Linked DNA regions of Lepisosteus oculatus. The protein of the gene in region 1 interacts with the protein of each later gene in a pairwise test. Links are inferred from orthologs where the notes say so. Each region holds a gene or a part of one and is shown in the gene's direction. Other genes may lie near its edges.

The links.
Region 2: the proteins of zyx (region 1) and vaspb interact in binary tests that used the Homo sapiens proteins (3 or more experiments, as listed by UniProt). The link is inferred for Lepisosteus oculatus from reciprocal best matches to the Homo sapiens genes ZYX and VASP.
Region 3: the proteins of zyx (region 1) and nebl interact in a two-hybrid assay, tested with the Homo sapiens proteins (2 studies listed by BioGRID and IntAct). The link is inferred for Lepisosteus oculatus from reciprocal best matches to the Homo sapiens genes ZYX and NEBL.
Region 4: the proteins of zyx (region 1) and imp3 interact in binary tests that used the Homo sapiens proteins (3 or more experiments, as listed by UniProt). The link is inferred for Lepisosteus oculatus from reciprocal best matches to the Homo sapiens genes ZYX and IMP3.

Annotation. Positions count from the first base shown.
Region 1 is NC_090718.1:2,071,768-2,079,745, forward strand, and holds the start of zyx (zyxin), read left to right. Parts: upstream 1-4,959; 5' UTR 4,960-5,330; intron 5,331-5,368; exon of another isoform or gene 5,369-5,578; intron 5,579-7,798; exon of another isoform or gene 7,799-7,978. Other genes in the region: fam131bb (protein FAM131B), read right to left, coding at 310-400. UniProt on the Homo sapiens protein: Adhesion plaque protein. Binds alpha-actinin and the CRP protein. Important for targeting TES and ENA/VASP family members to focal adhesions and for the formation of actin-rich structures.
Region 2 is NC_090698.1:2,213,432-2,221,195, forward strand, and holds the start of vaspb (vasodilator-stimulated phosphoprotein), read left to right. Parts: upstream 1-4,750; 5' UTR 4,751-4,765; coding exon 4,766-4,971; intron 4,972-7,764. UniProt on the Homo sapiens protein: Ena/VASP proteins are actin-associated proteins involved in a range of processes dependent on cytoskeleton remodeling and cell polarity such as axon guidance, lamellipodial and filopodial dynamics, platelet activation and cell migration.
Region 3 is NC_090701.1:17,879,979-17,887,327, forward strand, and holds the start of nebl (nebulette), read left to right. Parts: upstream 1-4,331; 5' UTR 4,332-4,346; coding exon 4,347-4,349; intron 4,350-4,727; exon of another isoform or gene 4,728-4,825; coding exon 4,826-4,888; intron 4,889-5,016; coding exon 5,017-5,088; intron 5,089-7,349. UniProt on the Homo sapiens protein: Binds to actin and plays an important role in the assembly of the Z-disk. May functionally link sarcomeric actin to the desmin intermediate filaments in the heart muscle sarcomeres.
Region 4 is NC_090704.1:31,046,188-31,053,370, forward strand, and holds the start of imp3 (U3 small nucleolar ribonucleoprotein protein IMP3), read left to right. Parts: upstream 1-4,181; 5' UTR 4,182-4,289; coding exon 4,290-4,426; intron 4,427-5,842; coding exon 5,843-5,950; intron 5,951-7,183. UniProt on the Homo sapiens protein: Component of the 60-80S U3 small nucleolar ribonucleoprotein (U3 snoRNP). Required for the early cleavages during pre-18S ribosomal RNA processing. Part of the small subunit (SSU) processome, first precursor of the small eukaryotic ribosomal subunit.

The DNA of each region.
Region 1 (7,978 bases):
CTCGCCCGCCCAAGAAATACCTGAACACACACACACACACACGCCGGGCTGGACACACACCCCCAGGGACCTCACACACAGATGCCAATCGGTGACCAAGTTGCTATCCCGAGGTCTTCACCCACATGGAGCGTTCACGTTGCTGCAGGCAAAGCCGATCGGAGGGGAATTTTATACACCGGTAGGATACTCCGCGACCCCCCCCCCCAGCAGAAGATGAGCATCTGCCCCTGCCCCGTTTCCCCAGTGCTGGCTGGTACCACACCCCCACCCACACCCCCACCCCCCGTTCAAAGGAAAAAGCCTTACTCAGTGTTCTTGAGCCAATGCATCCCATTTTAGTGGCAGTGGAGGCCTGTGCACAACCTTCGGAGAGCCAGCAGTCCAGTCCCTCTCCCATTCATCTCTTCCTCTCTCCGTCTCCCTGCGTGCCTGTCTCCGTGTGTGTGTGTGTGTGTGTGTGTGTGTGTATCTCCGGGAGAGAGCGTGTGGATGTGAGAGGGTGTGTGGATTCCTCTCTCTCTCTCTCTCTCCTCCTCCTCTCTCTCTCTCCCGGTGTTAATGTAGCGGCGTGCTCAGCCAGTCCGGTCGCCGGTCTGCGCCGGGTGCTCGGCCACCCTCTCGCTGCAGTGCCAAGAACCGGCTCCCAGCTCGGAGGACGGAGAGAGGGAGGGAGGGAGGGAGAGGGAGGGGAGAAAGAGGGGAAGAGAGAGAGAGACGGGGAGAGGAATGGTGATAATGATAAAAGGCAATTAAATCTCTCGGTGCAGGCAGCTGGCTCAATTGCACTTCGGATCCCGATTCGGCTAATTGGTATTATTAGTGGAGTGGCTGGGCTCTGCTCTTCCGGGGGGTCGGTTGTGCTAGAGCAGTGAGGGGATTCTCCTCTCTCTCCCCGTCTGTTTTACAATGCAGTACAGCTGTTTCCCTCCACCTCTCTCTCTCTCACTCACACACACACGCGCGCGCGCACGCCCGCGCTCACACGCACACACACTCTCTCTCTCTCTCTCCCCCTCCCTCGCATTGATCCGGAATCGCAGGGCTGTGAGATTGTATTACAGGGTATTCCTCAGTCGCTCCGTGTGCCTGTTTGCGCCCCTCCCTCTCCTCCCCCCGGGCTCGTCTCCCGCTCCCTCTTTCCTCCCCACTCCCTTCCTCTTCTCTCTCTCTCTCTCGCCGTGCTCAGATCTCTCTATCAATTCCATTCAGCTCAAGGTGCTTCAGTAGCGGGGCCGATGGGTACAATCAGCGCTGCCGAAGCAAATGAAAATGAAGTTAACAGGAAACCCAACAAAAAATAGAAATAAAATACATTCGACAGACATTTACAACAAAGACATATCATAAAATATTTACATATTGAGCATTACTGTGAGACAAGTTCACTGTTCCTCAGGCTGGGACGGGAGATCACGTACTCTCTCTCTCTGTTCTCCGTGATCAATCTCTCTGTGTCTGTCAGCCTGTCTCCCTGTCTCCCTGTCTCCCTGTCAGTCTGTGTGTCTGTGTGTCTGCCTGACTGCCTGACTGCCTGTCTGCCTGCCTGCCTGACTGCCTGTCTGCCTGCCTGTCAGCCTGTATGTCTGCCTGTCAGCCTGTCTGTCAGCCTGTATGTCTGCCTGTCTGCCTGTCAGCCTGTCTGCCTGCCTGTCAGCCTGTCTGCCTGCCTGTCAGCCTGTCTGTCAGCCTGTATGTCTGCCTGTCTGCCTGTCAGCCTGTCTGCCTGCCTGTCAGCCTGTCTGTCAGCCTGTCAGCCTGTCTGTCAGCCTGTCAGCCTGTCTGTCAGCCTGTATGTCTGCCTGTCAGCCTGTCAGCCTGCCTGCCTGTCTGCCTGCCTGCGTGTCGGCGTGTCTGTCTATCGGAGCTGCAGAGGAGGGAGAGGGGGAATGGAAGAGGACACAGTCAGCTCTGAGATGCGAGGGCAGATGACACTCACACATGCACACATGAATCACCTCAGACACACACACACAGACTGTGGGTGTCAGGGACGTATTATGCATTCACACTAGGAGAGGCAGGGAGGGGAGGGACGCTCAGAGACATACTAAACAGATAAGATGCTGTGATGCACAGATTAGCATTCTGCTGAGGAGAGGCGAGGAGAGGGGGAGGGGGAGTGCGGGAGGAGAGGTGTTCTGAATTAGAGAAGGGCACTGAACCCAGTACTGCTCATAAGCCTCCCTCTCTCTGCCCCTTCCAATTGCCAGAGCTGCTCTGGCATGACCGACGAATTACTGCCCTGCCAGCTCAAGGACTCCGCGGGAACATGCTTGCAGACATTTCGTTAAATAACACAATATTGTGATCTGAGAGGCTCCCGCTCTGTCTCAGGCTGGGACAGGAGATCACACACTGGGCTGCAGCTCTGTCCAGTTTCCTCTCCCAGTAGGACTGATCCTGGCAGGTGTGGGAGCGCTGAGATTTGGTTTGTTATTTGTTCGGAAGAAGGTTTCTCTAATCCCTGTGTGTTTCTCCCAGCACAGCAGGAAGTGCATCTCTGTCTCTGCTTCTCCCTGCCGGCAGGGAGAGCACAGTCTGTCCTCTCTGGACAGCCAGGTCTGCCGGTGTCCAGTTTCTCTGTCCAGGCTGTGGTCACTGAGCCTGTCCTCTCTGGACAGCCAGGTCTGCTGGTGTCCAGTTTCTCTGTCCAGGCTGTGGTCACTGAGCCTGTCCTCTCTGGACAGCCAGGTCTGCCTGTGTCCAGTTTCTCTGTCCAGACTGTGGTCCCTGAGCCTGTCCTCTCTGGACAGCCAGGTCTGCCGGTGTCCAGTTTTCTGTGGTCACGGAGCCTGTCCTCACTGGTCAGTGAGTGTTTTAGGTGATTAAACTGCTGTAGCCGTGATATTGTGGTCTAAGTATTCGAGTGCATCAAAATGTTGTTACCGTCTAACTGGTATTGACTGGTAACAGTGTCCACAAACCACACATAAGTGTTTTTTCAGTGTCTGACACTGATAGACATAAAAAATGGCTTGAGAGTGGCGTGGGTGGACCAGTAGGTGACGCTTGATCCTCTGGGACACAGTTGCCAGTCCAGTGCCCCAGTATGGCGATCAGGCAAGATGTTAAGCCGCAGGTCTGGACTACTTGTTCATTAGAGATCCCGTTGGCTCTTTGTTGTAAAGTTAGCCCTGAATTCAACTGGAGAATTAAATTCTCTCCTCGGCCCCTGACCTGTTACACAGTGGGGCTGCTGGGTTAACTCTTATATTAAATATAAAGGCGTTTTAATAGACGTGGTGGCAGTATGGCCAAAATAAGAGAACACCGAGTATTTCTCCTCCTCCTTGTGCGCCTCCTGTCGCACCTGTGCGCCTCCTGTCGCACCTGTGCGTGTTTTCAGAAGATCGATGGCGCCGGTGCGGAGGCGGCGCTGCCGCAGACCGCGGGGGTTGGGCGGAAATGTGTCGCAATGCTGCGCTCTTGTGGACGCGGCCGGTATTGCGCCGCGGCGGACGCTCCGGAGTCGAGCCGTCCTCGGAAGCCTCCGCCGCTGGGCTTGAACGTGCGGCTGGCAGGGCAGATGCTTCTCTCCCGGGGCGACCTCCAGTTCCGCATTACGGGGCCAGGACCGCGAGCCGCCGAGGGAAAGAGTACGACTTCTGAGCGATTGCGATGAGAAAAAGCAGCTTAACAATCACCCAGGCCGGAGGAGTACGAGTACTTGCAATTCCATGAAAGAGAAAACATGAGATACTAAAGAGGATGATAAGAAAGAGGAAGACACAACAACAAAACCATGTATTCACAACACATTCATGGGATCCTGATCCAAGTTCCCAGCTGAAGATGCCAGAATAAAACTATAGAAACGATGGATCCGGATTCCTGGAAAGGGACAAGGGAGTGATGAGCAGAGTCCATGGCAGACCGGCGCCTGCAGGGGGCGCTAGAGAGACAGGCAGAGAAGAGCAGCAGAGGGGTGGCTGGAGACAGGAATGAGACACGTATGCTGAAGAAACAGGGCGTGAGTGGGGTCTGCTGAGGATATCCGAGGATTCAAGTGGAATCTGCAGGAAACTGTTTTTTTTTTTAAAGGAGAATGAGTTAGGGGGGGAGGGAGGGCCACTTCTTTACACAAAGGGTGGTGGGAGGGTGGAACAAGCCGACACCCTGGCTTCTCTCAAGACACGGCTGGAGGAGATCCTCCAATCAGGACAGCACGTACTTCTTTACCCAAAGAGTGGTGGGAGGGTGGAACGTCTTAGCACTTCTTTGCACAAAGGAACAAGCTACCTGGCCAAGTTGTTCAAGCCGTGAGCCTGGCTTGTCTCAAGACCCAGCTGGATGGGACCCTCCAGTCGGGACAGGAGGCTCTTCTTTACACAGAGGGTGGTGGGGGTGTGGAACAAGCTGCGACCCTGACTCCTCCCCAGACTCAGCTGGATGCGAAGCTCGGAAAAACAAACGACTAACTACCAAACGGGTCAGGTGGGCCCCTCTCGTTTGTAACCGGTCTCCAGTTCTTCTGAACCTCCCCCCAAAAAAAACAGAGAAGCAGCTGGGCCGTCTCCCTCGTCTTTCTCGGACAGCGGATGTTCGGCGGGCTGTGGGGGGGGGGCGGGGGCAGTGTCCAGCGGTCTGCTCCTGAAGGGATGAGCTCATATTGACTCACCGTGTGCTCATCCTCTCTCTCGCTCACACACACACACACACGGTCTGCCTTCAGGGACTCGTGCTGCGGGCCGATCGGCCTGTGTTACCCCCCCCCCTCGCTGTCTGGGGGGAGCCGTGCAAGTCGGGGCACCTGCACTTCATCAACCCTCACCTCTGCCTGGGGCGCGCGCGGGCGCACACACACACACAGCCCTCGCTCTCTGCCTCTGACCTTACAAGGAAGTGCAGGCAGAGCGCTGATGTCATACCGTGAAGAATGTTGCAAGAATCCAAATTAAGAGAGAGGGAGAGAGGAGGAGAAGGGGGGGAGGGGAGGAGAGGGGGTGGAGAGCAGCAGGGGGGCAGGAGGAGGGAAGGAGGTTGATAATCCCGATGCACAGTTAACACGGGCTGCCCAGAGGGCGTGGGCCCCTCTGCCTGCCCTCTCTTCCCGGCGAGAGGGAACTTGTTGGGGCGCTGAGAGAAGGAAGGAGCGAGAGAGAGAGAGACGGGGGTGTGGAGAGGGAGTGGTGCCACAGCTGTGGCAGCGAGAGGCAGAAACAGAGGGAGAGGGAGAGAGAGAGGGAGTTCAGTACAGGACCCACCAGGACGGCGGCGCAGCCCCCCGACCAGAGAACAGAGAGAGAGGAGGACGAGTTCGCCGGTGTTTCAAGCCCCCTAGGCAGCCAGCAGGCAGAAGAGAAGAGTCTTGAGCAGCCTGGCACAGGGTAAGAGAGTGAGAGAGAGAGAGACGAGCTGTTTAACGGGCACAAACGCTAGTCAGGACAGGCTCGGCAGCTGCTGCCGGCCGCCTCGAACCCCTTGCACAGCGTCGCCGTCCTGCCGCTGTCGCGGTTTTTCCCTCCCCCCCATGCCCGGCTAGGCTGGTCAGAAACGCGCGGCAACTTTATTTAGCGAGCCTCTGGGTGCCACATCTGGCAGGACCCACACGCCAAGCAACTGTGGAAGTCAGAAGGTGTGAATCCCGGGACTCGATCACATAGAGAATGCATGTTCATGTTGTCAAGTGTTTACACCGCTTGCTTCAGTTCTGCGTCCTAAACCCTGTTACTTCCTTCTTCTCACTGTGTCCCCTGTCCTGCTGCGTGTGCGGATTACTTGGCGATTCCCTTTAACCTTCTTTAAAATGACTGATACTGGACATGGAAAGAAACTGACACTCTTGCTACTAAATGGGAGACTGGCTGAGAGACAGATATATGCACTATCTGTAACTTGCAAGCATAATGCACGACCTAACACTGATATTGATGTAGAGCGAGCTTGTGTCAAGTACACTGACACAGCCCAGTCACAGGGCTCTAGACTCTTCTAGTCCCTGTGGACACGCTGACACAGCCCAGTCACAGGGCTCTAGACTCTTCTAGTCCCTGTGGACACTGACACAGCCCAGTCACAGGGCTCTAGACTCTTCCAGTCCCTGTGGACACACTGACACAGCCCAGTCACAGGGCTCTAGACTCTTCTAGTCCCTGTGGACACACTGACACAGCCCAGTCACAGGGCTCTAGACTCTTCTAGTCCCTGTGGACACACTGACACAGCCCAGTCACAGGGCTCTAGACTCTTCTAGTCCCTGTGGACACACTGACACAGCCCAGTCCCAGGGCTCTAGACTCTTCTAGTCCCTGTGGACACACTGACACAGCCCAGTCACAGGGCTCTAGACTCTTCTAGTCCCTGTGGACACGCTGACACAGCCCAGACACAGGGCTCTAGACTCTTCTAGTCCCTGTGGACACACTGACACAGCCCAGTCACAGGGCTCTAGACTCTTCTAGTCCCTGTGGACACACTGACACAGCCCAGTCACAGGGCTCTAGACTCTTCTAGTCCCTGTGGACACACTGACACAGCCCAGTCACAGGGCTCTAGACTCTTCTAGTCCATGTGGACACACTGACACAGCCCAGTCACAGGGCTCTAGACTCTTCTAGTCCCTGTGGACACTGACACAGCCCAGTCACAGGGCTCTAGACTCTTCTAGTCCCTGTGGACACACTGACACAGCCCAGTCACAGGGCTCTAGACTCTTCTAGTCCCTGTGGACACATTGACACAGCCCAGTCACAGGGCTCTAGACTCTTCTAGTCCCTGTGGACACTGACACAGCCCAGTCACAGGGCTCTAGACTCTTCTAGTCCCTGTGGACACACTGACAGCCCAGTCACAGGGATCAAGACTCTTCTAGTCCCTGTGGACACAGTGACAGCCCAGTCACAGGGCTCTAGACTCTTCTAGTCCCTGTGGACACACTGACAGCCCAGTCACAGGGCTCAAGACTCTTCTAGTCCATGTGGACAGAAAGTAACATGTTAGACAGTAAATCACAAACGGAGAACCTTGTGATGAAATTGATTCCAGTATGAGTTTTAGTTTAACACATCATTTTGTCTTGTCTTAATTAACTCAGACAAAAATGGAAAACAATTTAACCTTTTTTTATCATCATTGTAGATTATTTTCTTGAGCATTTTATCATTGTTAACTAGAATGAAAAGCGGGTCCTTGAGGAACATTTTCACCATAAATGTTGTCAACAAAATGAACACCGGACACAACCTAGTCATAGTGCTCTAGATTATGTTTATTTATACTGTAGTATAAATGAATATTGGAAAAAATAATTTGATTAAATGCTTGATGCTAAAGAATCTGATCCAGACCAAAAACAATGTAAGACTATCCAGACTTTCAATACGTGATCTAAATATTTTTTCTCTTTTTGGGCACAAAGAGCAAAAAAGAATTAAAAAAAAATGTCCACACACCCTGATTGACTGGACACTACAGCACAGAGACACTGACTGACTGACTGGACACTACAGCACAGAGACCCTGACTGACTGACTGGACACTACAGCACAGAGACACTGACTGACTGACTGGACACTACAGCACAGTGACCCTGACTGACTGACTGGACACTACAGCACAGAGACCCTGACTGACTGACTGGACACTACAGCACAGTGACCCTGACTGACTGGACACTACAGCACAGAGACCCTGACTGACTGACTGGACACTACAGCACAGTGACCCTGACTGACTGGACACTACAGCACAGAGACCCTGACTGACTGACTGGACACTACAGCACAGTGACCCTGACTGACTGACTGGACACTACAGCACAGTGACCCTGACTGCCTGGACACTACAGCACAGTGACCCTGACTGACTGACTGGACACTACAGCACAGTGACCCTGACTGACTGACTGGACACTACAGCACAGTCACACAGTGAGAGCTCTGTGTGTTAAAGTTCGAGAGTGCTGTGACGAAACCCCAGTTATCAGTGGACTGACGTCACTGCACAGGAAGCGGCGGGACCCCGAGAGGTGCGGCCG
Region 2 (7,764 bases), on another chromosome or scaffold:
CTCCAGGGCTAGGATTGGACACCCCTGTGTCCTGGAATCACACACATGATTAACGTGAACAGAGACCAGGAGATGAAACAATGTTGGTTGACCTAAGAGTTACAAATATAAGCCAGGTTACTTCTGGGCTGTTTGGTAGGAGACCTGCAGACCTTCTGGCATCAAAGCTGGTGGACAAGTACAACTGTGTCCCCTGAAGGGCTCCTCATAGACAATTGGCAAAGATCCTCTGTCTGATCCGATGAGAAACAGACACTTCCAGTCCTTTTCATGTCTAAGTGTTCTACAGGGCCAGTAAAATAAGCCATTATTGGTTGGATCAAAGTCCAATAATGCAATGAGAGGAGCTGTGTGGCCCTACCAGCCCGTTAGCCAGTTGATTGATTCTAGGATCTCCTCCAGCTGTCTTTTGTAAGAAGGCAGGGTATCGGGCTTTAGCTACATGGTTGGCGAGCTTGTTCCCCACCCCCACCACCCATTGTGTAAAAGAGTTCTCAGTTTTAAATGCATTTCCCCTTGTGTCCCCTGGTTCGTGTTTCACCCTTGATTCTGAAGACGTCCGCTGGGTTGGGTTTGCCAGAGCCTTGAGGATTTTTGATTGCTTGTATCGGATCCCCTCGTAGCCTCCTCTGTTCAAGAGTTGTTTTGGGAGCCACGCCTCCCCAGCCTCCCGCCACACGGACAGAAGGCTCTTGAGGGAGCAGAGGAAGGCTGCCCGGTGTGTTCGGTGACATTTGAAGCGCCCCCTTGTGCCCGTGGAGCAGAACCGCCGGGCGTCGCGCTCTGCAGCAGAGTGGCCCAAGCCTGCCACGCCCACCTCCGCGCTCACCTGAGCGGGAGATCAGACTGGTACCGGAACCAGAGAGCCTAGTTCCATCTCTGCACCGTGTTGTTGTACGCAAGGCGTGCTGAGCTCCGCAGGTAACGAAGGAATAGAGAGGTTTATGGGGCAGAGAGGGAGAGTGTGAGTTGTGAGTTTACAGAGTGCAGCTCTTCTGCGAGTCCAGGGCGCAGCCCTGAATCTCTGCCATTTCCTGCATGCCTTGCATTGCTGGGTGCTGTGATTACTGGTAGCCTGGAGGAGGACAGTGAGCGTGCAGGGTCTTGTGGGGACTTGAAGGGATGAGGGTTTCTGGAGTGGAAGGAAACAGAGCCTGCGAAATCGCCGGACATGGGTGGACACCCCAGGAAAGAGCGCAGGACACCGGCACCCAAGCCCGGGCTTCGTGCTCTCCGGTCTCGCAAGAAACGGCTTCAAAGGTGGAAGCGCTGATCAGCAGTCCTCAGACGAGCCCTGTGCGACAGGAGCCTGCGGGAATATGAAATTGTGCTTCATCAACCCCCCTCCGCCAGGCCATTCGAGGAGGAGGGGCCGGAGCTCTGCTGCTCCTCTGCTGAGCTGTGGTTAGGCCTGTTGAGTGAAGAATTATTCGCACTGAATAATGAACTACAATGTGGCTCGTTAGAGTGGCGATGAACATTATTTAATGAAATGCAGTTCCCAGTTTTGCCTGTCAGGAGGGTCGTACAGTCCCCCTCCCCCTCACATCATGATGCACACATCAGTTTAGAACAGCATCACTTTGCATCCGCGACATGAACATGCATTTCTTTTCCATCAGCTGACGTACAGGGTTGGAAGGAGCATAACTCTTTGATCCGTTGTATTCAGGCTTTCATGTAGAGTGCTCTGTATGAGTGTTGTCATCGTCCTCTAAAAAAATGCATTGCTGCTCTGAAATCAGACCAGGAAGTAACGCTCGTATTCTTTGTGGGGCTTAAGGAAACATCCCACACGGACAGGCTGAAGGAGCTGAAGCTCTTTAGTCCTAAACACTGAAAGGGGTCTTCGTCCAAGTAATCGAAATCATCAAAGGCAACAAAGTCACTCAGTGGGCTTCTTCAGAATGAACGGTGAGACGCGGACCAGACGGCACAGGTTGAAACCACTTGGAAGTGCATTTAAAACAGGCACTTCTTTACACAAAGGCTTGTAGGAGCGTGGAACACGCTACTGTTCTTTAGCTCCACTCTGGTTTGTGTCTGTTCTTGGATGCCATACGTTTAAACTGGGCAGGTGCGGTGCGGGCCCTGTTCTGCGCCTGGTGTCGGGTGGTGGACAGGAGCGGTGCAGTTAATCTGCTGGAAAGGAGAACTGCCCTGCGGACCCGTCATTGTGTGAAAATGCGCCGGAGGAAGCGGCGTGCGGCGGGTTTGGAAGTTGCACCCTGGCTGCGCCACATCTGCACATCTCCCATCCAGAGCTGCTTACGAGTGCCGGCCCTTTGCGAATTTGCAGAGTAGCAGCAGGCGGAATGATGCAACTTCACCATCACACCCAAATTGATGCCTTTCGGGGTGTCCCTCTCTGCCCGTGCCCCCTGAGATCTCCCTGCGAGTGTTTTGGGGTTCCTTCAGAGGAGGAGTGGGGCGTGTGCACCTGACAGCTTCATGACACTGTTCCATTGAGTGGGGCCGTATCCAAGACCAAGCCTGTCCCGGGGCGAGCCGGTACCGTGACGGGCCGGTTCACCCTGCCGCCGTTCCTCGGTGTGAAGCCAAGCCCCCGCTGTCGCAGACAGAGCTACCGCTCCGTGCGGCTCGTGCTGACCAGACTCGCCTGCGCCGACCCTGGGGGGGAAGAGGAATTTGAGGAAGTCAAACCACAGTGCCTGGTTTTAGCAAACTGTGAATTTGCAGAAGCATCTTTCACAAGAGCCTGAGGATGTAGCTGAAGAAACAATGAGTGTGCGGAACAAACGAACGCAGTTTGTTCTACGTTCTCATTGTCCCCCCGTGAAAGCGGAGGACATTGTTTTCAGTGGTTCTTTTCCATCTGGTTGTGGATAACAATCAAGTTGCGTTCTGCGAAGTTTTGTCCGCTTCTGCAGACATCGGAGTGCGTGGTAGTGTTGCGCACCTGCAGCCCCGCTGGGGAGCTCAGGACATCGGCTTCACAAGAGATGGATCTCCGAATTGTTTCGCAGAGTCCCAAACTGGATTTGTGCTCCCTAAAGCACGTTACAGATCCAGAGAGAAAGTTTGTTGATTTCAAGAGCTGGCTGGCCGCATTTCATCAGGTTTATTCACACTCTCTTCACGCTGACAATCGCAGTAATGTGAAGTCTGATAAGTAACAGCCTGATTCGGTGTTCCCAGGGGTGTATGTGATAATACCGACGCTGGGATCACCTGTCCATTCGTGAGGCTGGTTATATATAGTGTGAAGGAGATGCTCGAGGAGGGAGCTGTGTCGGCGTGTGCCGGCTGCAGAGGAACAGGTCAAGGATTTCTCCCTGCTGAAAGGAAAAGACATGAGGAGAGACGCAACGTTTCGGATGTGGGGCCTTCTGCACACACCTGAAGAAGATCCACAGCCGAAACGTTTTCTCTTTTCCTTTCCTTTCTGCATGGAATAGACCTTTACCTGTTCCTCTGTGGGAAGGAGGTGAGCATCAGGCCAATGCACCAGAGGTCTTAAAGTTCTTGTTTTTTTCCTCCAAGGCCTTATCTCAGATCCCTTGTGAAAAAAGTGGCGGCGATCAGTTTATCTCGATGTGTGGAAGGCTCTCTCCGTTTCAGAACCCTCTCTCCTCCGCCACGCCCGCGCTTGTCGAAGGCCGTGAGTCGCCCGCAGCCCTAAGACACCGGCAGTGCTCCCAGAATGCAGGCTCCAGTCTGAAACGCCCTGTGGGGCTGGTGGAATGTGGAATTAACTCTTCGAGAGCTCAAAGCCAAGATGTGTCCTGGAGCCCAGACCACTATAATCTGTGTCCTGTGTCTCAAATCGCCCAAACACGTTTCAGGCGTATGTCACATATCTTGATAAATGATGTACCTTTGTGTGCGTTTCATTTCTGCAGTTAGTTGTGTATGGAGACCAGAGGGGCAGTCTTGCCTGTGCTTAGCTTGGGGTGTATTCTGAGGTGCCTGCGAGATTTGCACTTTTGCAGAGCTGCATATTAATGCTGCGTTTGTTCATTCTGTTACCGAAAGCTTACGCAGCTAATTATATAAGCCTGTTGTATATCTGGTATCGTCTACCACAGTCTCGCTTTAAGATGGTAAATGTATTAACAGCAGCTGTACTTGCACTCGTCTACTTTTTGACAGTTATGTTCGGGCCGACTTCAAAACTTTTTTTTTTTCATTTGTTAATATCAGTGGCTAGAGCAGTGTTCCTGTTTACCCTGACCACATCCCTCTCACTGTCAGTGTCCTCTGGACCGCATCGGGGGAGGCGAGGCCTGCAGGCTGCCGATAGGATAGCCCTAGTACAAGCACAGATAATTCACATGAAGGGTTTCTTGTTTTAAGGGAAAAAAGTTTGCAGTAAGTAAAAGCGCGAGACGCTCTGCCAAGCTGACGCAAGCCAGCTCAGCAGACTGCCAAACAACACTGAGCACAAAAAGGAGCAGGCACAAACACCCCAGACTGTGAGCCGAAGGCAGGCTGGTGATTGTAGGTTTTGAGCGGTTTGGTGGGGAGAGGAGAGGGCTGCAGTGGGAGGTGGGGCTGGAGACTCGGAGGGAGTGGAGGGGGGGGCAGGTAGAGCGGAGCGAGCCAGGGCTGGCAGGGAGACGGGGTGTGGGAGGGAGGAGAGGGGCAGGCGGGGCTGGGCCTGGGCCTGAAGAAGAGAGACGGGAGGCGCAGGTACAGAGAGCTCCTGAGGGAGCAGTCGCACAGGGGGAGAGACGGAGGGGGCGTGCCTTGTGGGGCATGACTCAGCCCGTCGGCGTGTCGCTGAGCACAGCCTTATACAGGCATGTCTGAGAGCGCCTGGCCGCAGTCTGTTTACTTCGCCCCAGCTGCACAGTTTCCTGTTAACTCCTGCCTGACCAGGCAACAGGGCTGCTTTCCCTCCTGGATCAGCAGCCATTTTGGCTCCTGTTTCCACCCAGGGTTTCGGGGTGCGGTGCCTTGGACTACGGCATCGTACAGAGGGGTTTGTCGATGGATCGTGCTCAGTAGGTGTGTCTGTGGTCCTGGCTTCTGGATTGCTAGCCTTTTGAGCCCATCGAGCACACGATCCTTTATTTTGAGAGCTCTGCTGATGTGTTTAACACAGCCCACTGGCCCCAGAGGTTTATGAGGAAATATGCCTGCCTTGAGCATTTCAGAAGCCTAATTTCCGGTAGGAAAAGGTCAGAGTGGTAAAGTGAAACTGTAGATTTCTGCGGTGAATGGTAGACTTTGCTGTTGGTAGGTGGGGAGTGGCAGTAGCTCCTGAAGGAGCAGGTAGTGATTGTCGGATGCGCTGTCTGCTCAGAGAGTCTGGGCCTAGCTGAGGCTCGGCGTGATCCATCATTTAATGCTCCTGCCGAAGAGCAATCTGAAGAGATTGAAAATGCATGCCAGCTCGCTCTCTTTCCGATTGTCTGAAACTCTCGCCTTGTCTCCGTCACACACACGCACGCCCCCCTCCGGGTCACAGACCCGTAGATTCCTCTTGGGGAGTGAGCCTGACCCTGTGCCCCTCCCCCTGAGCCAGCAACGTTAGCCTCTCCGGGACACGGGGGAGGGCAATTAAATGAACCCGGGCCCATGATTCCGTCAGGGTCTGAACGATCAGGTTCTGAATGAGCGGGACCCGGCGTGCCATCCCAGCAAACACTACAGGGCTGGGACCCGGAGCTGCGAGTGCTGTGTGGGCCGGTGCCGTTTACTGGTACAAGAACATCAAGAAGATGAGCAGAGGCCATTTGGCACAGAGGTCTGGCACATCTGGGCTGACTGAACCCAGATCTCATCTAGCTGGTTCTCGAATGTAGTCGAGGTATCAGCTTCAGCTACTTGGTTGGTCAGTTTGTTCCAGACTCCCACCACCCTGTGTGTAAAGAAGTGCCTCGCGTTGACAGGTTTGAATGCACTTCCCTGTAGTTTTCGCCTGGGCGCTCTGGTTCTGGAACTCCGGCCCACCTGCGCCTCCCGAGCTCCCCCCGCGCGCAGGGGGGTCTCCCAGCAGGGCGGCCCCGGCAGCGGGCGAGGCTGGCTTGGGGCCGCCCCCGCCGGCCAGCCGTGCTCGTGTGTGGGAGGGCCTGTGTTTTGCGCTCTGGGAAATGTTTGCATTGCAAATCTAGCCCCCCCGCGCCTCCCAGTTTTTTGCTTCCTCCCCTTGGCTTCAATTTTGACCTTTTCGCTCCTTCTACTGCGGCACTCCGGCCCTTCCGCTGGTTATTTCACTACTAGAAGCCGAGCCTTGTCCTCTCTTTCCGGATCCCTGTCCAGCAGTGGAGTTAGTCGGTAGAGGGCGTTCGTTCTAGTTTTGGACCTGAACTGCTTCGCTGGGGAGTCGAGAATGACTCGACAGCCGGGGCTCTCCAGGAACAGGGCTGCTTTAAGCCCTCGTTTTGCCGACATCTACAGTACGTGTATTTTTGGGGGTTCTGTCCGATGAAGAAGGCTGAATCGTACCCCTGGTAAGGGCAGCACCCTAGAATCTCAAGTTGGTCCGGGAGCTCATTGTGATCTGTTCAGTGCTGTCTTGCCAGAAACCACTCTTGTAGGCAGGGAATGCTTCTCATTTTTTCCAGATTCCCTGGCGTCTTCAGTAGGATAACCAGATAAAATAACAAGCACGTCAGGACTTTTTACTTAATTTGATTTGCTGTTAAACTCGGGGCAACTTGGCACAGGCGATAGAAGACCTTGAAGCAGTGGGGATACGAATAACATTCAGCACTGAGCAGACCTCTGCATGGTACCCAGACATTTAGGAATTGGCATGCTTAACGAGAGCAGGAAAAGCCAGTCAACAAAAGACCATCTTTGCAATCGATTGACACTGTAGACACTCCTGCAGGACAGGCTGGAGCTTTGTGCTCCAGCTCAGCAGCTCACTCTTCTTTCGGTTGAATCCCTCCGATTTACCTGCGCTGGATCACAAACAAATTAAATATTAACGCGATCTGTTCCTTTTCTCTATTTGGATTAATATCCATGTGTGTCGGGGTGCGTTTTAGAGCTTAACAGTTAATGATTAATGAATATTAAAATACAAAACGGGTCATAGTAGGGCCAGCACGATCCTTTCCATCAGGAGAATGAAGTAATAAATAAGAGAAGACTGCTCGTCCCGTTGAGCTCGTCAGTAGCTGATTGATCCAAGGGTCTCTTGCAGATGATTCCAGACAGAAGCCAGGCTGTTGGCTTCAACAGCGTGACTGTATACCTTGTTCCACACTCCCACGACCCTTTGTGTAAAGTAGTGCCTCCTTTGCTTGGGTTTAAAAGCACTCTCATGGGGTTTCCCTTTGTGCCCTCTGGTGCGTGTTTTGTTGTTATTGCTGCAGGAGTCTGCTAGATTGACCTGGTCACTGAGGTCCCCTTGTAGTCTTCTGTGTTCAGGAGTGAAAAGGTTCAGTTTCTCCCGTGTGTCTGTGTAGACCACTCCCTCAACCCCTGGAATGGAGCCGATGATCCTTCTCTGGACAGATTCCAGAGCAGCAATACCTCCTCTCTAACGCAGTGACCAGCATTGTACATGCGCTTCTGAACAAGGCCTTCCTGCTGTCACACTGTGCAGGGCCGGAGGGGGGAGGGTGCAGGTTGTTCAAAATGATTTTTTCTTTCATTTTTGGGGGGCGAGAGAGCTAGAAGGCTTCACACCACATCCCCAGTGTGGCAACACTTGGGCTAATTCGGCCATCTGCGTGTTTCTTCATCGTCAAAAAAACCCTGATCCAAAACAAACAAACTGGGCAGTCGGCCAGAACAAGTCAGTCTGCGCCGAGCCTCAGACAGCCCTTCAGGAGGAGCCTCAGC
Region 3 (7,349 bases), on another chromosome or scaffold:
TTAAAATACAAATGCATTGGCTTTATGTTAATTTAAATAACATTGATTAAGTAAAACAAACAGCAGTAATCACAAACTTATAAACTCTGATTCCAGTGGATGCCTGCTACAGTATTTGCCTGCTCTGTCATTAGCACAACCCCTCTGTAATAAAACTGTCAGAGAGCCTGTAAAGGCACCTAAACTGGGAGCTCTTGTCACAATACCAAAACAAGACCATGTTGAGGTGCAGACACTGGGTCGCGGGTACTTGGGCAGGGGGCAGAGAGAGGCTTTCTCACTAGCTAGATTCATCGCATTATCCCAGTCTGTTGTGCAGCTAGTCTGAAAGTTGTACTTAACTACCTTCCGCCTGGATTCATCCTGCTCTGCTCTGCTTCCACCCGAAACCCCGTCGGCCAGGCAGAATCGCAAATTTGCGAATGTTAAAATTGCAGATGTCAAAACCGTGCTGTATTCAAAATCCTCAAAGGCGTTCACAAAACCAGTCCCATGAAACTGCCTTCAAATTCAAAGGGTAAATACGAACCAGAGGATACGACAGTATGTAACAGTGTATTTGAAACTGAGAAGAGGAGGCGCTTTATGTGAAGAGTTGTGGCAGTATGAAACGAGCTAACGAATCATGCTGTTGAAGCTAGTACCCTGGCTTCTTTGAATAAACAGCAGGGTGTGATGCTATGGTTAATTTGGGTGATGACATGGTTATGGTTAATTTGTTAATTTGGGTTATGTTTATGGTTAATTTGGGTGATGCACACTCGAAGAAGGCTCCACAGCCAAAATCTTGTGTTACCTTTCTTTTCTTTTCAGCATGAAATAAACCTTTCCTTGTTTCTTTGTTATGGTTAGTTAACTACTAACTACTAAATGGACTAGATGGGCCAAATTATCTCCTCATTTGTAACGTTTCTTATGCTCGTATTAATTTTTTTTCTGAAACATAATACTCCTCTCTGTGATTTGATAGTTGAAACAACAGTCCCATTGTCTTTTTACTCGTAAAATGTCAGAATTAGTCAATTTGGGAGTAAATATCCTGTTTACTTTTCCCTTCTTCCTCGAACACACAAGTGAAGAAAAAGATTATCTAATCTTGTAAACTGTAGCTGAAAGAGGCTGAACCCGTCTTCATGGATACCAAGATAATTACAGAAAAATGTGGGTAAAAGGACAGTATTTGTTGTGTTAAAAAGATTAAGTGAGGCAGCCAGCTAGATGCAGTTAAAGCTTTTAAAAGGGTAATTCACTCCCGTTTTTTTCTTTTTCCCTAAATAGAAGATTCTTAAGCTTTCTTGTTTGAACTTCCCACTGTGCTGTTTCTGTAGTATCCCCCAGGACAGTTTTTTTCTTTATTTGTCCTCATGAAAGTTGAATGACGAACGCTTCCCGTTACATCACGATTTAAAGGAAAATGGGATTTCTTGCTTTAACGATGTATGTTTCCTTCCTACATGTTTTTAGAAGACATTTTAATGCCAATAAATTGTCAATAAAATGTCAAAGAAAGAAAAGGAATAGGGACTGTTCCGAGCGCAGCTGGCCCTAATTAACTCCCATTACCCAGTTACCACACCACACCCCTTCCCTCACTACTTAAACCCTCTGCTTACTTTGTTCACTGCTCGGCATTAGGAAACCAGCCTGCCTCCTGAGCTCCTGTTGTTTTCAACTAGCTCTTGATCGACCTCTGTGCTTTGACCCAGCTTCAGCCCTTTGACCTGCCTTTTGCCTGCTCGTTCGGATTTGTTCGCCTTGGCCTTTATAAACACTACCCTGCACAGGGTTAACAGGGACAGAATATACAGATGAGGGAACAGATCACAGAATTTCATCAAAAAGTATATATTTTTGGTGTTACGGGACAGTTTGAGGGCAGCATGAGGGTGCAGTCAGTGGTTAGCATTGCTGCTTCACAGTGCTGGGCTTCTGGGATCAGTTCTGGTCCTAGTGCACTGTCTGCTTAGAGTTTGTATCTACTCACTGCGTTTTCTCCAAGTGCTCCAGTTTCCTCCCTCAGTCCAAAAACATACTGGTAGATTAAACTGGCCGTAGCGTGAGTGTGTATATATATTTATGTCTGTGTGTGCCCTGTGATGGACTGGTGTCTTGTCCACTGTGTGACCTGTCTTGCAGCCATTGCTTCCTGGGATAGGCTCCGGGCCTACGTGACCCTGAATTGGATAAGTTGATATTGAAAGTGATGATGTGATGATGATGTGACTGTACTAAGTACTAGGCTGTACTAAGTAGAATTTAACTTTACATTTTAATGACAATGTGGTCAGGACTGTTTCATATTAAGGAAACAGTGTCCTCTAGTTACTGTACCAGGGCAGTAGTTTTGGAAATTCTGGTCCAGAGAGAAAGGTGCCACCTACTTAACCACCGACACTACTTACAGGATGCGCTATTTTTTCTTAGCAGTCTCCTATCTCAGTACTTGTCGAGTCCAATCTTGCTTAGCTTGTGAGACCTGATAAGATCAGGCCAGAAGGCAATAATTAATTGCATTTATATAGCAATTCCAAAGGATTCCAAAATGCTTTGCAAATTCTGTAAATGTATCTGTGGGCTGCTTCAGTAGAATGCCTAGTATTCTTTCTGGCAGGCATTGTCAGTATGTGAGTGACCTTCTATAGTAACTCTCACTAAGATTGTCACAAACTGCTGTTAGGCCTTTTTATAAAACTACCTGGAAAAAAGAAAGTAGAAAAATCAAGGTGTGATGAAGCAGCAGTCCACTTTGTGAAAGATATTTTAACCTTGCAATGATTCCTAAAAACATTTGAATATATGTTATTGTTTTATATTTATAAAGATGCGCATTGGAAATCTTTTTACATTATAGGGTAGCACCATGAGAAAATAAGATTTCTTTATTTCCTGATCCAGTCTCTCTTTCTCTGTCAGTGAATTGTTCTCATCAAGAATGCAGAAGAAAAGAACAGCGAGTGATTCCATTTAAAGCACAGATGACTGTCTTTGAAATGTCACAGAAGCTTCTTGTGTGACTAAAGAGCTCAGATAGATATGAGCTGTACAGTTTAGTCATGTCGAGATAAAAGCATTCACATACCATGGCAGCTGACATCACTGCCTCTGTGTTCGGTGAAAGTTCTCTGTCCATCACCCTGGAGGGCATCGATTAAGCCTAAGCAAGCTTCTCAGTGAAAAGCAGAATCTAATACATTGGTGTCGGCAGAAGTGCTGCTCTATTATTAGTGATTAGTGATGTGTTGGTTTTAGGTAGTTCCTGATGCTTATTTAGTCAGCTCTATCATTTTATTGTTGCACATAAGAAAATTTGTGTCTAAATGAAGGCTTTTTCTATGCCATATACACGCTGAAAGCCATTATCAATCAAATAATTAATGCCTGGTGAACTACATTTACAAAAGAAAAGCCATTTGCTGTAGCTTTACAGCATGGAATTGTTTTATGAATTTAAAAAATCAGTGGACCCTGACTGGCTCAACCAACTGGTTGTTCCAGTGGGCAGGAAGGGCTCTATAGTCCAGGCATCACTGGTGTTATTCTGGCCTGTCCTATGAGCCAGCTGAGGCAGAGATTCCCAAGTAGCTTGGCACTGGCCACAATATTTTTGGCCAGCCATGCAGAGTATCCTTGCCTTGTCCATCAGCAGCACCTCTTTGCTCTATGAGATACCTTTGCAGGGGAGTCTTTTGTGTCATTGCAAGCGTTCTAGCAGTGAGTCAAATTGAGAAGGAATTGGGAATTTCAGGCTAGGAGGGTATTAAAGAAGATTTCTTGTGTTTGCTCATCCATCCATCCCTTTTCTAACAGTACAGGGTTGCAGGGAGCCTATCCTGGCAAGCAACAACTGCAAGGAAAGGATACATCCTGGATGGGACATCAGTCCATAGCATAGGAAAATTGGCCCTGGTGTGAGTATAGTACTGTTCTTGCATGTCTTTGTTTGTCTCTGTGGGCCTTGTGATGGGCTTGCATCCCGTCACAATCCAGAGTATTTCTGGCCTTGATTAAAGTGGTTAGAAAAGGGGTGGATATATATGTGGTGCCTCTTTACTTGTGAAATTTAATTCTGGTCTGGAACTCAGGTTAGCGAATGCACGCTGTCATAGAATGATGCATTTAGTAACTCTCAAGGGAGATGTTGAAAGGAATTAAGTTGATAACTGTTAGAGTGGGCAGCTATATCGGTCTGGGAACTTCATTCGAACATTTTGAGTTTAATTCCACATTGAGAACATGAAAAGTAAAGCATTTCAGCTGTGGAGCTGTCTTCAAACATCAGTTAATGAGTCCAGTGCATTCTTTGATTTTGCTTTTCAATGTGGACTTAACCTTATGTTCTTCCTAAGATGGTAAATTAAGTTTTTAGCAAATATATAGTATTAACGTTCAGTTTTAAACTCCTTCTAGACAGTCCATGTATTGTTCATTAGAGCTGAGTGACTTATCAAGGCTTATACATACTTATACATACATATGTCATACAATGTTGATATAGATAGATTTCATTCAATCTTTTAATGCATTTTTAAAAAATATTTTTTTATTTATACCTGTAGGGCATAATGTAAAAGATATGTTGTGTTTCAGAATTGTTCCTTGTTTGTTCCTGAGGTTTCAGGCAATGTGTTTCTATTGGCATGTAGAGAATTGTGCAGATAAAAGCTGTTGAGTGAGGTCTAAATTAGGAAGGTGGTTTGATAAAGAATACTGAACGAATGGAGTTGGGTTGGGCTGAGGCACTCAGAACTGCTGTCGCAACCCCTAAAGGAGAAGCAGAGCACACAGTCACCCAGAAAGTTCTTTTCTCTTCTGGTTTAAAATTCAGAAGCTGTGTGATTCCAAGGACATGTCTGAGGAAGATACTGGGGTAAACATGAAAAAGGAGGAGGTATGTGTTGTCAGCTCTTATTTTTGTGCAGGGGTGGGGAAGGGGGAGCATAGTTGTTTTTTCTGATGACCTTCGTTGAAATCAATTTTGAAATGCATTTGGAAACGCTTTTCATTTTTCTTCCTCAGGCTTTCAGTAAGCCCATTGTTGAGGACAGGAACTTAGAATTTGCCAAGAAGTGCAGCGAGTTGATAAGTGATGTAAGTATATTTTGGTATTTACAATGACTAGACATGGCTGCACTAATTTGCATTTTGTATGGGTGTTATTGCCACTTCTAAGCCTGCCATTATACACGAGACCTTGATTTGAGAAATCCGAAAGGTTTTAGTGACAAAGCCATTGTGATCAAACCTTTGGCTTTTAGCCATTAATCTGCGTAGTGGGGAAAAACCTATTAAAATTCCCCATTGGTCCAGCTCATGAAAAGAAAGGATGCTTGTTATGTGTATGGTGTAGTGCTTAGGTGTGAAGTTGGTTGAAATAGTGTTATGAGGGAAGAAGCTGTGCAGAAAAAAGGATAATGTAATTATATCATCACTTGTTGGCGTCATTTACTAGAAAAACCTATCATGGTGCCAGGACACTTGCCAGGAAAAGTAGACTATGAAAGGATGAATCAATGGATATCTTTTATGGCTTTATGGCTAATAAATGGAAATATCCTTAAGTACAACACTGACCTGTAGAAACGTTGCAAGCCAGTGCTTAAATCCATAAAAGCATACCTCATTACATAAACTAAGACTTAAAAATGCGAGTTTAATTCAGTAATAGAACACTTCTCAGAATCTGTCGGGCACCTACAGTAGTACCAGTGCACTTCAGAGTTCAACACCGAAAGCCTTTGTAAGATAGTCATACAGCATTTACTGTATGAACATGTTTTTTATGTAACCAAAGTTATATTTAAATAAATGTTCCCATCAATGGAGAGTTAAATTCTGTTTTCTTATGTCACTACTTAAGTCACTACTACTACTGTGTTTAGAACCTCATCTTATATTCCTAAAAATAGATAATGACTTCTGGAATATTACTATGGGGGCATTGTTCATACAGTCATACAGTACATTAAATGTTTTTAATGATTGAAACAAGCTAAATGAGAAATACTGTTAAAACATGCAACATTTCCAAAAACATTGTGAAGTGATGTTATTGTATTATCATTTAAAAGATTATTTAGTTTGGAGAAACGTCTGGACTCCTTTAATGGCCTGCCATTGCATACAACACCAACATTACAGTGTACTAACCACAGAATTATTCATGCTCATATTTTGCTCACAGCTTTCTATTAGTCAAAACAGGTGGTATGTGAATGTTAAATTAATATGCCCTTAAAAGTTTAAGGATACATTCAAGACGTAATCCATAGAGAGAAACTTTTAAAGGCAAAAATGGGGTAGGTCAATTACTTTTCATCTACCAAGTGAAAAGTTTCTTTTTTTGCACATTTTCATACATTGGAAGTTTCCCTAATTGCTCTCTATGTGATCCAACATTAATACTGAGCAGTTATGAAAAATCCTATAATTAAAATTGTGTTTGCTGCTTTGCAATGCTTAATGACATGCTGTCCTCCTCCAGTGCTGTGTGTGATCAAGTGCTTCAATAATTTTGACACTCCTCATCAGAACTGGTCTCTAAAGCCAGATGACACCCCAAGTGCTAAGTAATTAGCTGCAAATTTGAATCATGGAACATTCTGTAAAATGAAGGGTTTAGTTTTAGGTCATCTTATTACTGAGCCCCATTTCTATGTTGTCAAATGTTATTACCTACATGGGGTCTAAGTTTCAAAACCCATATCTTGCAATGAGAAAGAATGGGTTTGCTTTTGAACTATAATGTGACCGAAGCTTTGGACTTCCTGCAAACCTCATATGGGACTGTAGTGATGTGATGGTTTGAGTTTACTTACACAATTAAAAACTGGGAATGTGAACTCAGGGACTGCAATATGGCTAATAGGAATTAATCAATCAGATCAAACAGTGATCTATAAAATACAAAGAATACAATATACAATTGTATTAATAGTTTATTAATAAAGTAATAAAACATGCAAGATAAACTAATGGAAGATTATATATTTATAAATGTATAAAATACAAATGGATGGTTAATCATTCAGATTTAATATAATATGGGGTTAAGAGATGCTATAATTCTTTTATTCTTTTGAATGTAGTCAAAGTCATAATAATCATTCTCTTATAAACACATCAACATTCATTACTGCTTGAAAGACAAGTAAATATTCAGTTACCTTCCTGGATTAATCTTTATCAAACATATTTTTCAATAATAGTTTAATTTGTGAATTTTATAATGTAAACATTGAATGCATACCCATGGAAATAAAAAACCCTGGGCAGTCCAGATGAGATTTGTATAATTGCAGAAGGGAGAGAAACCGAAAGACCCACGTCATGGCTTGTCCAGTATTCATTGG
Region 4 (7,183 bases), on another chromosome or scaffold:
AGAAATTGTATATGGCCAATAAAGTGATCTTATACTGTATCTTCCAGTTCTGCGAAAGGCTTCTGCAGTACAGCTCCCTCATCTCTTTCACACATCAGATTTCTGGGCAGCACATTGCTGAGTGTCACATTCCCACCAAAACGCAAATTCCTTCCATAACTTAATGAAATTTGACCCTAAAAACCTTTACCAGCCCCTAGCACATAAAAAACACATTCACATGGCCATTTTTATCTAGGATCATCTTTATGTGAATCTTTAAATGAGCTCAGAAGATTATGAATGTGTACACAGAAGGCTCTCTAAAACAGCCTATTAAAGCTGTAGCTGAACTGGGATGATTGAATTGTACAGGTCCTGCTTAAACGCTGACATGATTTTAAATTTTATCTGTATGAGAATGTCAGTGTTACAGGCTGAATTGCCACCAAACAAAAAGAGATGGCATTGTGATGACCCCCGCTCCATATTTCAAGGGTGATCTGTCGTTTCTGTCATTTTGCAGGCCACTGTGAGAACGTGTTTATGTTCTGACATGTAATGTTTCTTCCATTAGGTAGCCAGTACACCTTTAATTAGCACCTTCCTTAAACACGCTTTATTTCTTTGTGGTGATATTTTTGTCTTTCGAGCCTTGTTGGCCTCCCGGGAGTTTCACAGTGCCGTGATTGTATAGTTACTGTTTGTGTGGTTTCCGTCTCAGCCCTGCCTGTCCTGGGGGTGTGATCATACTGTAATACAGACATAGCTCTGCCCCTCCTGGCCAGCTCATCAGTAGGGAAAGAGGCTCAGTGTCTTTTCACACCATTGTGCATGGCTTCCTCTAGACCTGATAGCTGGTGTCACTTTCCACCACTGATGAAACACTGCCTTCCCAGGCATGGCTATTTTGTCATGATCACACACAGCCATTACAAAACAAACACTACCAAGCCAGACTCCACTGCTGCAGTGATATTGTATTATTGCTGTTAGGTCTTTTATTGTTCTTTTTTTAAGAATGCATTGTTATTGGAATGTGAGGCAGTAAGGTTACAGAGTACAAGGCAGTGTTGCACTGCAGTAACAGTGGGTGGGATAAGATCATTTTGTGGTCAATTTCTTGTAGTAGGAATTTGTCTTTTCCCAAACCCCGACTTGCTCTCCATAAGACACACAGACAGGGAGAGAAGCTGGGGGTCAGAGCGCAGGGTCAGCCATTTATATGGCACCCCCTGGAGCAGCTGGGGTTAAGGGCCTTGCTCAGGGGCCCAATGGAGTAGGATTGCTCTGCCGGCTGAGGGATACGAACCCGTAGCCTTCCAGCCACAGGCACAGAACCTTAGCCACAGAACGACCACACCAGATTCAGTATTTTCAATCAGATACTGCTGATCTCAATGTACATGTCGCCTTTCAAGGAGCCTAAACATACACATTAAAACAATTTCTCTACAACAGAGAACACTTCAGAATGTACAAAAAAGAACAACAAGAAGAAGAAAGAACATTTACAAAAGTTACATGACCTAGGCACACAAATGGTCAAGTTCAAGGTCAAGTTCACGTTTATTTGTCATTCCAGTCACATACAAGAATACACTGGAATGAAATATCGTTCCTCCTGGTCCACAGTGCAAATACAGGCAGGACAGACAGGATACACATAGTGGAAAGTGCAGATAGTGCAAATTACACAATATACACAACACACTGGGGGGATTTAAACCCTGTTTCTGGAATTGGGGTGGGTGCAAGTAGATTCCAGGGTGTTGAGGAGCCTGACAGCCTGCGGGAAGAAGCTGTTACAGAGCCTGGTTAAACTTGTCTATAGCTCAAGAGTACATGGGTAATGATCGAACAATAACAATGGTACCAGCTCTGAACTCGGCCTAGTCCGTTATCTCATCCCTACCCCTGACATTTAGGAGAAAGCCCATGAAACAAGGTGGCTTTTGCAGAGAAAGGGTCGGAGCATTACAAATGCAAGTAGGAAGGGAATTCCAGAGAGTAGGAGCAATGGAACTAAAAGAATGAGGTCCATTGTTACGATCATTACAATGCAATGCAGTATAGAAGAGCATAGTGCAATATAAGTGCAGAACTTCTTCGGTGTGGCGTGGCACTATAAAACAGTAATGTAGTATTATTTTAGTGGGGTTCAGTGTTATTGAACTGTGATATTATTGGAGTTCAGTATTATTGAACTGGCCTACTGTGATAATTTGAACTATTTGATCTGCTACAATGTTAGTGTTAGTGTTGGTGAACTAAATTAGCTGCTCTGTTTCATCATTAGGCATTAGGCACCATACATACCGAGTCTCTGTCTCTTCCACAGTATATAGTAAAGCCCCTGCATGTACCTCCGGGGTGTCAGAGCTCACAGCGTGGCCTTCATGTCCCTCATGCTGAAGCCAAGGTTTGGCGTGACAAGTTGAACCTGCTCTTCCACATTCCCAGAGGGTACAGTCTACAGAGTTTGTGATGAGCACCCCCCACCCCAGAGCATTTTCCTTCTGTTCTGTTTGGACAGGACAGGGCTGGAGCAGTTAGCGGTTTCTGCCTCACCCTCTGCCTAACAGTGTGCTTTGCCTTTCATGCCCTTTTGTCTTTGAGAAAGAGTAGACTTTTCACTTTGCTCAAGGAAGTCAGAAACCTCCACTGCCCTAATTACAGACCCCAATCTGAGAATCTGCCCCTTACAGTATCAGTACCATACAGACTGGAGCTGAGGAGTCCACTGTTGGTGTGGCTCTGAACTATGTGACTCTGGTAAGGGCATCCCCAAAGCTAACGGACCCTGGCCTCCTGGGCATGAATAGAGCTCACACAGCATGGACAGAAGACAGATTTTATTCTGAAAATGCCAGAAATGTAGAGTACAGCATCTCAGCTATGACTGTGGCTCAGCAGATTATCTGCCTGCCCGCTGCTGGTGCTACACAAGAGCTGAGATGCCAGTTTGTTTGCATCATAGAGCAGGGGTATCTGATCCTGGTCCTACAGGGCTGGTGTGGCTGCATGACTTCCAGGTCTGAAGATCTGGAAGTAATTGGGTTGTTAAGCCAATAACGAGCTGACTGACAGTGCCGGATTTCCCATTAGGCACTTTAGACACAGTGCCTAGGGCCTAAAAATTTTTTAGGGCCACGAAGGAGGGAAACACTAGTGACTAATGAAAAATGAGCTGAAACAACATGCTTGCGATCGGCTCTAGGTGCTCCAAATCAATAATCATGCGCTATTTAGCGGCTGTTCTAGAAACGAGAAGTATCGAAGTGATGGTTGCTCAACTCGCTCCATCAATCACAAGGTTTAGCATGAGAATAGATAGATAGATAATACTTTATTAATCCCGTAGGGAAATTGATAGTATAAATCAATTAGTTAAAATAGTTTAAAGTGCATCATGTCAATCGACGTAATTCAACTGGGGTTTACCCCTCTCTTTGCACAGTTTGGAGTGCAATAACCTAGGGCCTACGAACATCAAAATCCGTCCCTGCTGACTGACTTGGAATGAAAACCGCAGGCACACTGGCCCTCCAGGACTAGGACTGTCCTCCCCTGGCAGAACCCTTTGTTATTTGGACTCTTTACTCTTCCAGAGGTCTCAAACAGTTCCTGGAAGGCCAAGTGTCTTCTAGTTTGTGTTCCAACCATGTTCTCACATAGCTGGTCTGATTATTTAAGTAACTGTATACTTGTAATATCTCTAACCAGGCTCTGAGGCGATTTATAGGAAACTGTAACTGAAAGTGAAAGTCTTGTTTATTCCACTCTAAAAGGCCTCAAGAAACATCCTGTTACATCCTGAAACTGTTACATGTCTGATTCAGAAAATAATTGGGTCAATTACTTAATTGACTTCCCAGGTTGGAACAGAAACCAGAAGACACCAGGCCCTCTGAAAATGAGTGTGAGACACCTTTGCTCTTCTAAACACGTTTTCACTTAGACTTCCATACTGGGATCTCAGATGGTTTGGTGGTATTGAAATGGAATTTCCTGTTTGCATTCAGGGTCTATTTCTAAGTGAATACTGGAAGATTCGATGCAACGCTGTTTCTGAGGCACAAAAACAATTTCTTCTTCTGAAATGCGGTTAAACCTCCTAAAAGCACTTCTGCACATTTATACTTAACTCTTTAGCGAAGGCTGAAGCTACAGTGCAGACGCTCACGTGTCGCTGCTGGGGGTAGGTGACGTCAAAGCCCAGCGATTTCTGCTAGTGACGGAGAGCGCCGGAAAGAGGAACTTGGAGAGTTTGTTTAAGTTTTTGTGTCGTTTTGCAGTAATATAGAAAGATGGTGAGAAAGTTGAAGTTTCACGAGCAAAAGCTCTTGAAGAAAGTCGATTTTATCAACTGGGAAGTGGACAACAACTTACACGAGGTGAAGGTGTTGCGTAGATTCCACATCGAGAGGAGAGAAGACTATACCGTGTAAGGTTTCTCTGCTGATTCAAACTAAACACGCTGGGCTGTGCGCTTTACTGCACACGGGAACAGACATAAATTGCGCAAGCTCTTTGTTGCTTCTGCGGTTTCGAGAAATAGGAAAATATCTGCCCTTTTTTTACAAACAGATAACTTGTAGCATAAGTTGTTCTGTACGCATGTTTTTTGAAAGGGTATTACTTGCTAACGGAACCCTTTATGCGTGTTTGTTGTGAGACCCATGCTTAAGAGGCTCGTAGAAACGCTGAAACTACTGAAGCTTCACGTGAAATACGCTTTAAATTGTAAGTCTCATGCTCAGACGTGGGCGCCGCCATGACACTTTTCTCTTGCCGCGGGGTGCTACATCGGTTGTCTTTTTCTTCGTCACGCAAGCACTTTTACTTTTAATCAAGTTTAGAACCAACTAAAGTAGATGAAAGTGAAGTTGACAGTGGCATTGCCGTTTGCGTTTAGGATTCGTAGCCTTTTCTCCTGCTGTTTGTGTCGATGGGTTGGGGGACTTCGAATCCCAGCATGCTCCGCGGTCTGTTGCGCTGCAGGCTGCCTATATCCGAGCGCGTGCGTGGTTTTCCTCACTGCGGTGCGTATCATGGATCAGTACTTCTTCTGCAAAACCAGAAAAAGCTCTGAAATAATATACCTCCTTAACCGAAACTGCCTGGGGTTTACGGCTGGAATTGTCAATGTTTCACTTCTTCATTCCTGTTAAAAAGAGTTAAATTGGGCTTCCTTGCCTTTCAATCGCATCAGGTCTGATTTTAACTCCTTGGAACAGCTGCACCAGAACCGCACACGGACTCTGGACAGCAGTGTGTAAAGGCACTCAGAATACTGCCTGGGTCTCTCCAGGCCATCGCTATAAATGAGAAGCTTTTCTCATTAGAGCCATCTGCTTAAATAAAGCATTAAACAAACCGCTCCTGCGATCAGTCATAATCTCCATACTGTTATACTTCATTTCTCTGTGCCCCCCTTCACTATCCACCTCTCTCGCTGTCATTATTTTCCTGCCGGTATCAAATCAAAGTTTATTTATCAAATGCTCAACAATACAGCGTGCAGCAGTAGTTGCTGGTAATGAAATGTCTTTTCTGCAAGCTCACAAAAATCACAAAATAGAGGTTATGAAAATAAGGTTACATACTAATAGATGTAATAGAAATTGAATAATGAGTCGAGCTGCTATGTGTCCATGGTGTATGCAATAAATACAAGTAGTGCAGTTATGCTGAATACAGTGAAAACTGTGTCCATGTAGCCATTACAGGTGATTTGCTAAAGGATCTGCAGGTTGGCTGTTTAGCAGTCTTAAACGGTACCCCTGTTCTTCTCTCCTGTTTGCTGTTGGTCCTCCCTGTTCACCCCTTCTCCCCCCTCTCTGCCCGCCTCTCCCGACAGGTACAACAAGCTCAGCCGTGAGATCCGGCAGCTGGCCCAGAAGATCCGGGACCTGAACGAGAAGGACGGCTTCCGCGCACAGAACACCGCGCGGCTGCTGGAGAAGCTGTGAGTCGTGGGGCAGGGCTGTGTGCGCGTGTCGGACACGGAGGGAGGGAGAGGCATTCGGCAGCGTGGGCTGACCCGGTCGGCCAGGCAGTCGGTCCATCGGTACAGTGTTGGGAAAGGAATGGACAGGAACAAAGTCATGGATTTATCTCATAAAGATGTCAACTGTGGTTTACAGAAATGCATTGTGGGATGCTCAGAGGGTTAAAACCACTGTTTCTCATATAGTGTGACCTGTGTGATATTACAGGATTTTCAAGACCTTTAATACAGCTGAAGGGCTGATATGCCCATTTTTACATTAATAAAGCAGGTCCAGCTTCTTATGAAATCCATTCTATTTCAAAACTTCAGCATTTGTCTGAGCTTCTAGCGATGATTAGTGATTTAGTTTTCATAGGCAAAAGACTTTGTGCCACTCATTCATTCACACTGTTTAAATTAGAAACTGTGCTGTTTTTTGGGGAATGCACATCCACAAAACACCGTTCAGTTTCACAAATTAAATGGAAATGAGTTTCATAAGTGTAGCATCCTTATATATTGTGGTATCTCAATTTCTCTCCTCTAGCTACAGTACAAAAGTATGTAGTAATCTTGAAAAACGTCTGTCTTTTTTGGATTGTGTTCAAGCTTTGTTCTTAATCACAGGCTTCATTATTTCAACTTTCTTTTTGAGGCTTTTTTTAAAATTTCTTGTAGAACTTAAAACATTTAATAGGTGTCAAGCCTGTGCTAATCAGTCCAGGACTGCCCTCATTCAGGTGTGTAAGGTGAATTATATGAAATATAGCCAATTGGGCTGAAGTAAAAGGAAGATCACAGACTCACTGTGGGAGGTGTCTGATACAGGGCCATTCTCTCCTGTCTCTGTTCATCGCTTTGATCACTTACTAATAGTCGTTTAGTCAGAAATAGGGGAGCAAGTGAGTCTGCGAGCCGAGGAGAGACTCGATTAAATTCTGTGGGCTGATGTTTTTGGAAATAATGTGCTTTAACTGAGGCCTCTCTGAAACCAAGAGGCGAGTGCTGAAACAAGCAGATCAGTTACAGGCAGCAGTTAGCTCTGCTGATTAAGGGCCCAGTTGGAATGAAAACCAGCAGACTCAGGGGTACTTCTGAGAGCCCCTGCTCTGAGCCCTCCGCAGTATGCACTTCTGCTGGCGTCTTTCCTCGTGCTTCTTCAGTGAAGCCCTGCTGCTCTCCAAACACGTTTTAATGTGCACAGTGGTG